2 linked regions of the Cricetulus griseus genome follow. The main gene of each other region encodes a partner of the protein of the gene in region 2 in a complex. Links are inferred from orthologs where the notes say so. Each region holds a gene or a part of one and is shown on either strand. Other genes may lie near its edges.

The links. Proteins that work in one complex are often made in the same cells at the same time.
Region 1: the proteins of Stap1 (region 2) and Lat2 are in contact, whole or in part, in a crystal structure (PDB 3MAZ), measured with the Homo sapiens proteins. The link is inferred for Cricetulus griseus from reciprocal best matches to the Homo sapiens genes STAP1 and LAT2. Residues at the interface, in NP_001304698.1 of Homo sapiens: Arg184, Arg203, Pro204, Gly205, Ser206, Ser212, Ile215, Gln217, Ile219, Lys225, His226, Tyr227, Lys228, Glu239, Leu240, Glu241, Tyr255, Phe256, Glu259, Thr260, Arg261, Asn263, Leu264; in NP_054865.2 of Homo sapiens: Asn134, Ser135, Tyr136, Glu137, Asn138, Val139, Leu140, Ile141, Lys143.

The regions. Positions count from the first base shown.
Region 1 is NC_048597.1:113,700,334-113,704,279, forward strand, and holds the start of Lat2 (linker for activation of T-cells family member 2), read right to left. Parts: upstream 2,801-3,946; 5' UTR 2,704-2,800; coding exon of another isoform or gene 2,680-2,703; intron 2,392-2,679; exon of another isoform or gene 2,369-2,391; 5' UTR 2,350-2,368; coding exon 2,263-2,349; intron 1-2,262. UniProt on the Homo sapiens protein: Involved in FCER1 (high affinity immunoglobulin epsilon receptor)-mediated signaling in mast cells.
Region 2 is NW_023276807.1:151,312,939-151,316,967, reverse strand, and holds the start of Stap1 (signal-transducing adaptor protein 1), read right to left. Parts: upstream 2,801-4,029; coding exon 2,681-2,800; intron 1-2,680. UniProt on the Homo sapiens protein: In BCR signaling, appears to function as a docking protein acting downstream of TEC and participates in a positive feedback loop by increasing the activity of TEC.

The DNA of each region.
Region 1 (3,946 bases), on a different chromosome or scaffold from region 2:
TAACCCTCACACCCTGAAAGCAAACCTAATGAAACTCATCGGTCACCACCAGGCCACACCCAACTGGAAAAAGAACATGAATCAGAAAGGAATTAGTTAAGAAGAGGGCAAGGATCTGAGAATGGCAGTGGACATGAGAAGGAATTGGTTAATGTGGTCAAGATGCATTCTTTCCATGTATGGAAATGTCCTAAGCCTAATACTATGCATAATTAATCCATGATAATAAAAAGACTGAATGGGGTGGGGGCTGGAGAGATGGCTCAGGTTAGGAGCACTGACCCAGAGGACCTGGGTTCAACTCCCAGCACCTACATGGCAGCTCACAACTGTCTATAGCTCTGGTTCCAGGGGATTTAGAACCCTCATGCAGGCATACCTGCAGGCAAAACACCAATGTGCATAAGATAAAGTTTAAATTATTAAAATATGATTGAATGGATGGGGGGTGGTGAGACAGCTTTAGTAAAAAGGAGCTTGCTGCCCACTCTTCCATCCCTTTCCGCCGACCGACCCACGAACGGGAGCCCTCATCCAGTGGCTGATGGAAGCAGAGACAGACATCCACAGATATACACTGAGCTGAAATCTGGAATTTAGTTGAAGAGAGGGAGGAATGAAGAGCGAAGGGGTCTATACCAGGCTGGAGAAACCCACAGGAACACTTGGCCTGAACAAGGGAGAGCACATCGACCCCAGATGCTGTCGGGGAGGCCAGTACAAGACTGATCCAGACCCCTGAGCATGGATGTCAATAAGGAGGCCTCTGCACTCCAGGGAGCCTCTGGTGGTGGATTAGTATATTTCCCTGGTGCCAAGAAGGGACTTTAAGAGAGCCCATCCCACATGAAGGGATGGCCCTGGACACATGGGGAAGGGCCCAGAACCAGCACAGGAAGATTTGGTGGACTTTGCAGAGCCCCCGTTGAGGGCCCTACCCTGCCTGGGGAGTGGTGGGTGGATGGGGTGGGGGTAGGTTGGGGGGGGGGAGGAGGGATGGGGGTGAGGGGAGGGAGAAGGGACTTATATGTGAAACAAGCTTGTTCCCTAACTTGAACTAATAAAGAAAGAAAGAAAGAAAGAAAGAAAGAAAGAAAGAAAGAAAGAAAGAAAGAAAGGAGTTTGCCTCCAAGTCTGAGGATCTGAGTTCGATCCACAGGATCCACATGGTGAGAACTCACTCCTACAAGTTATTCTCTGACCTACACTGTAGCACACACCCATCCATCCAATAATTAAAAATGGATTAAAATATTGGAAAACAAAGCAAAAAGAGCCAGTGTGAGTGTATGGGTCTGGGCCTTGCTTCTCAGTTGGGGATTCCTCTGATCCCAATTGTCTTCTTCCCAGGGAGCTCAAAGGTGCATACAGGGTTCAAAGAGGTGCATACTGTGCCAGAGAGAACCACAGTAAGAGTAACAGTGATGGAAATCCAGAGTAGGCCCAATGAATCCCTCCACTCTGTGTGCTCATGCTCTCTACAGACAGCAGGTGGGCTGAGGGAACTGAGGCTGGGTCTGCAGGAGGGGCAACCCACGAGTCACACAAGGCCCCAAGGGGCCAGGCAGGGCTGGCTGTGGGTGTATGGGGGACTGCCACAGCTCTGTGGCTCCGTGTAGGCCAAAATAGCTCAAAGGGAAGTGGGCAGTTTTCATATGAACAAGGTTTGCACAGGGCCAGTCTCTTGACTGTAGCCTCTGAACCACTAGCCTCAACGGCCCTTAGTGATTACTCTGCAACTACTCACCCTTCAGGGAACAGAGGCCACCAGGGTCTGCTCAGATGAGTACGACCAATCACACAATCCTGGATGGCTGTATTCATGCTACTCTGGGGCCTGTGGTTTTAGCTGAATATTTCTGTGGTTTGTTCGAGACAGGGTCTCATTATGGAGTACAGGCTGGCTTTGAACTCCTGTACCCCCACCTTAGCATTCCTAGTGCTGTGATTACAGGAGTGCACCACAATCTCTACCTGCATGGACCAAGGATTTGGGGCTTCAAATGAGAGTGGAGAGAGGACTCTGAAAAACCTATTGGAGGCCAGAGGGCCAGGTGAGTTGTGTGTGTGTGTGTGTGTGTGTGTGTGTGTGTGTGTGTGTGTGTGTGTGTGTGTATGGTCATGTGTAGAGGTCTGGCAGGCCCTTTTCCAGGCCAATGGTGGTGGTGGTGGAGGCTGGGTGGAAGGAACCTGGCCAACCTGGGCTACCAGAACCAAAGAACCCACCAGCTCTACAGGGGTTATCCATCAGAAGGTACGAACCTGGGTCAGGCTTGGGTGGACTTTTGGGGACAGCAACTTCCTCCTCCTGGCTGGGACAGGGCCTGCCTGGGCAATTCCCCAGGGCATCCCAGATTCACCCACAGGCCTGTGGCATTAGATAACTCTTCACTGATGGGAGAAACTGAGTTCATTTCTGGCTTTTGGCTGGCCCTCCCCAGTCACTGGTAGTGACAGAACCCCCCTAGGGTCTCACAGGCTGGGGGTTTGGGAAGACAATGATCAGTAGGTAGGTGCCTGGAGCCCCTAAAACAGGCTGCCCCCAACGGGCCAAAGTGCCCGGCCAGGGCAGGAGGAATCAGGTGTCCCAGCCACCGCTTAGTCCATAGCTACTAAGGGTCTTGTGGGGGATAGTGCAGGGGACACCTGCTCAGCTGGGCACCCCTGGGAAATGCTTACCTGAGAGTGGGGGTTCCTCACCATGGCCACCCCATCCTGTGCCGGCACACCTGCCCAAGCCAATGCCAACACCAGACTCTGGCGGGCAGCAGGCAAGGCGGTTGGCTTCCTGTCACTACTGAATCATCCTCGCACATCCGCCTTGGCCGGACTGCTCGGCTGGCTAGTGACAAAAGGGGTGGGGCAGACAGAAAAAGATAGAGATAGAGAAGAGCGGGCCATAGTGGTGTATGCCTTTAAATGCCTGTACTTGGCAGAAGCAAGCAGATCTCTTTTGAGTTTGAGGCCTGGTCTATATAGTGAGTTCCAGCCAGGGTTACTACATAGTGAGACCTTGTCTCAAAACAAACAAAAATCAAAAACAAGGAAGGTAGGCCAGCAAGATGGCTCGCTGGGTAATCGCACTTGCCACCAAGCCTTACAATTTGCTTTCTATCACCAGGAATCACATGGTGGGAGAGAACTGACTGATATCTGCTAGTTGTCCTGATATACATGTACACACACACACACACACTCACTTGGGGTGGGGTAAAAAAAAGAAAGACTCAGGAGAAATGGGAAGTGAGAGATAGGCACGGAAAGAGGACAGAAAGCCCAGGACTCACACAGCACACACCAAAACGAAAGCACAGACACAGGCCCCAGGGGGCACAGAGAAGAGAGGCAGTGTCAACCCAAGAGTTCACACACACACACACACACACACACACACACACACACACACACACACACACACACGAGAGAGAGAGAGAGAGAGAGAGAGAGAGAGAGAGAGCCACAGACACCAGAGGTGGGAGATACAGATGCTCAGTTCAGGAGAGGACCAGAAAGAGAAAGACAGCTATGCAGACAGACAACCAGAGGCTGGAGGAAGCGAAGCCAGTGTCCTGCCAGAACCCACAGAGATCTCAGAGTGGGAATCAGGAAGACAAGATTAGAGCAGCAGAATCCCATAGAACAAACACCAAAAGGGCAGACAGAAAAAGATAAGGGACATGGGGGACAAGGAAGAGACATGTGGTGGATGGCACAAAGACAGCAGATGGAACAAAGGATCAGTGTGTTAGAAACAGCTGGATAGGGCCCCCACCTGCCTCTTTGTGTGTAGGGGGAGAGGGTATGTGAGTAGAGACCGGAAGTCAGCCTTCTGAGTGCCTTCCCAGGGGATAGAACTCATGATCTGCCTTAGTGGGAAGCACCTTTGCCTACTGAGCCACCTTGCTAGACCACCTAGTGCTTTTATTTTTTTGTCTTTATGTCTCAC
Region 2 (4,029 bases):
CCTAATGTAGTTCAAGTAAATCTTCCCATATCTTTCCCTTGAAAAATACTTTTCATAGATTCTTGACCTGAAATGCAGGGTCCTTCTAGAATTGTATTAATGTCAGCATATGTTGGTGCATTTTCTTTTAAAGTGATTGCAACAATTGTTTGTGCGATCCTTTTCCTTGAACTGGGTTGCCTCATCCAGCCTCGATATGATGGTATGTGCCAGGTGTTATTGTGACTTGTTATGCTGTGTTTGTTTGATGTCACTGGGAGGCCTGCTCTTTACTGAGGAGAAACAGAGGGGGTGTGGATCTGGGGGAAAGGGGAGATGGGAAGGAGAGGCAGAGGAGGGGAGGGGAGGGGCGGGAGGGGAAACTGTAGTCGGGATATAATGTATGAGAAATAAAAATAATAACCCTTGCAATGAGAGCATCTTGCCTTGTAGTTTCTTTATTGAACATGTTCTTAAACTACGTTTTCTCCATTTTTATCTTCTGAATTTGTTTTCAGCAGGGACCTCTGCATAGCCTCTCCATGTCATTTGTGTCAAGGAACTCCACGGCTGACCTGGCAGCAATGTTCTCAGCTCACCTTGCTTCTAAATGCTACCTAGCATTTGCTACCAGTTGTGGAGAAATCCCACCTTTTTCCACGAGTATTTCTCTCATAGTTTCTATGTTTAAGTCTGTGAGCAGCTATGGAGTTCCTTTGAGCAATTTTATTTACAGACCTCAAACTGACTTTAGAATTCTAGCAAACAAATAAGTAAATAAGAAGAAAATGAATCTCATCTTAAGTGTGAAGCTGGTGTTTTATATGGCTATCATTTCCATCTTGAAAACCATCACGTGCCTTGACATTGTTGCTATTCTCTAGTTCCTCCCCTGTTTAATACACAAGAGAAAGGGACTTGGTAATAAACTCAAATGGGTAAACAAATTGGTTTTCTCATATACACGTACCACAATTATTTACATTTGCACGCTCCCATTGAATCCAGGGCCCGATGTGCATTAGACAAGTGCTCTACCATTTTGCTAGATTCCGCAGCCCTTATGAGAAATACTAGATTATGGTTCATTCTATTTTAAAGCATGGTTTCTAAGAAAAACCAGAGTAGGAGTTAGATAGATAAGAAATTGTAACTGATACGAAGCTAAGCCTCGTGTCCTGTTTGTCGAGTACAAGATATACAATAAATGCTGCTTAAAAGTAAATTGATTCAGGTCTGTACTTTCTTATCCCACAAATAATAAAGAATACAATACAAATAATAATATATTATGCTAGCCAAGTAGAATTTTTTTCTCTTTGCAGTTGAATAAATTGAGTTCAGGGGAGATGATGGAGTAATTTTCACAAGATCACAAGGTGTATGTGGAAAACCATCAAGTGAAGACACGGTTTACAGCTACTCTAAAATTGTGGAATTTTATCTGCTAACCATGCCCATATAAGCCTTCTTTAAACACCTTAAGATATTGGTATCAGGCACAGTTATCAGAGACACTCTGGAAAGAGAGTCAGTGACCAAATTTAAATTACCAACTAGAAATTTACTTTCTTGTTACCCATTGTTGATGAAGTAAAACCATGTAGTTGAACTGTGAGTGATCAATAACAACAACAAAAATTCCAAAATAGCTTGAAAATGTACTAAGAAATGTTTAACACCTACAACAAGAATTACAACTTGGCTTTCAAATGGCAAATATCTTTATCATGTACATAGAAAATATAAATGTACTGTTACAATATTTTCATATTCATAATTTTTCCACGAATGTCAATGAATCATCTGAAACCTTGACTTATCATCATTGAACATTTATTGTTATTTCTGTAAACACTTAAGTCTTTGCTAGCTTCAGCCTATATTAACATTTCATAACATTTTACTTGCATCAATGGCTTCTTTTTTTTTTAGTAACATGATTTCATGTTTATTTCTCTAATTAATTTTATGTTGTCCACAATTATAACTTTAAAAGTAGTACTTTTGATAACTATAATTTGAAATTTTACATTTAAAAATATGTGGAATACTTTGTGAGTTTTCATAGAGAAAAAGTACTTTTTGAAAAACAAAATTAGTGTATTCACTATTTGCAATAATACCCTAAATGCTCTCTTTTAAAGCCAGTATCGTGAACAGTATTTTCAGAATGAAACAATAGTAAGTAAACATCAAATTTTCACAACTTTATCAAAGTTTACCATTTATTACAGTTTGGTCATTAGTTTACCATTTATTACAGTTTGGTCATTATACACTTCAGTATGAGTGAGAGTAGGAGAAGGTTAATTTCATCATAAAATCACCTTATCTTCATGTACTTCATCACCACTGAAGCATAATATTTGATTGTTGAAAAAACATAAAACAAAATTATCTTGCAAGCCAAAATCGTATGTGATGCTCAATGGAAATTTCATTGAGTTTTTCAATTATAGCTAAATATTAAAGACCTTATTATACATGCTTATGTATGCATATATATGCACAGTTTATATATATTTAAATATATTATAAGTTTAAACTGTACATTGTATTTAAGCTATTCAAAATTAGAATAGTTCTCTTCACTTAGGGAAGAGGGTATAATCCAGACAGAGATAGGAGGCATTGTCATGAAACAAGTTTTATATTAAGTGAAAACATTCAGGCTTAGAATTCTCATCTACAGACTTACCTGGTGATTAGACCGTTTGACTAACAAAAACCCTTCAAAGTACAGCGGTAGAGCAGTGATCTTCAGCCTCTCCTGGAAGATCCTGCGGGGCGCTGGTTTTGGGGGCTTCTTAGCCATCATGCCCGTGGCCTTGGCGTTCGGGCTCACTTTCAGCCTCAGACAAGATGAAATCTCCGTTGTATGAGAGGAGAGGCAACTGTTCAAAGAGGAAGTCCCAACTTGCTTTTTAACCACCAACAGGACGGGGACACACACACACACACACACACACACACACACACACACACACACACACACACACACACACCCTTTACTTCTTGTGAAGTAAGAAAGATCAGGCACAGACCAACTTTTAAAAGGCAACCTCTTTTCAGGCTTCATGTGCGTAGATTCATGGTAGCAAAATAAACAGCAGATTATCATCTAAGGATGAAAGGAACAGGTGCAGGCACCGTGGGCTTGGGGACAGACACCATTGTTTGGCTTTTCCAACTTTTATTACTGTTTATTGCTTTCTGTCTTTATTTCTAAAAGACATGACTTAAACTATTTATTGAATATTATTGTACATATATATATAATATTCTATAGAGAGTTTTTAATTTTTTTTTGTTTTGTTTTAAAACAAGTCTCATTTTGTAGCCATGACTGGCCCGAAATTTTACTCTGGAGACCAGATTGGTCTCAAATTCAGAGATCCACTCACTTCTGCCTCCAAAGTGCTGGGATTAAGGCTTGTATCACTAGGCCTAGTCATGGCCATAGAGTTTTATAGGAAAGAGAAAGATGGCCTCCAAGAAAAATACCGAAAGGAATTTTTTGACATTTACTTAGTGTGTGAGCATGTGTGTGAGTTCACACTCAGGCTTATGTGTGCAGATTTGTGGCAATTGGTTCTCTCCTTTTACAATGTGGGGCTCGAGTATTGAATGAACCCAAACCCTTAGGCTTGTCAGCATGACCCTTAACCTTCTGAGCCATTTCAACAGGCCTACACAGGGATATTCCTGTTAAGTAAACATCTGCTTACTTATGTCTTTTCGTTTTCCTTTTAAAAAGGAAGCAAAAATAAATAAATAAATAAATAAATAAATAAATAAATAAAAGCTAGTTCACCAAACAAGGAGGTTCTTTTGGTCTGTTGATTTGTAAGTAAAATTAATCCTTAATATACCAAGAACCAATGATGTCTCCTTCAACCATCTCCCCCAACTATTTTAAAACTCCAAAGTTAAACATTATCTTAATGGTTAATCAGTCTTAAACATTATCAGCCAGTTAGACATGTCCATATTCCCAACATCACTGTACCCTGGCACTACTGCAGTAGAAATCCTATTACAGATAGA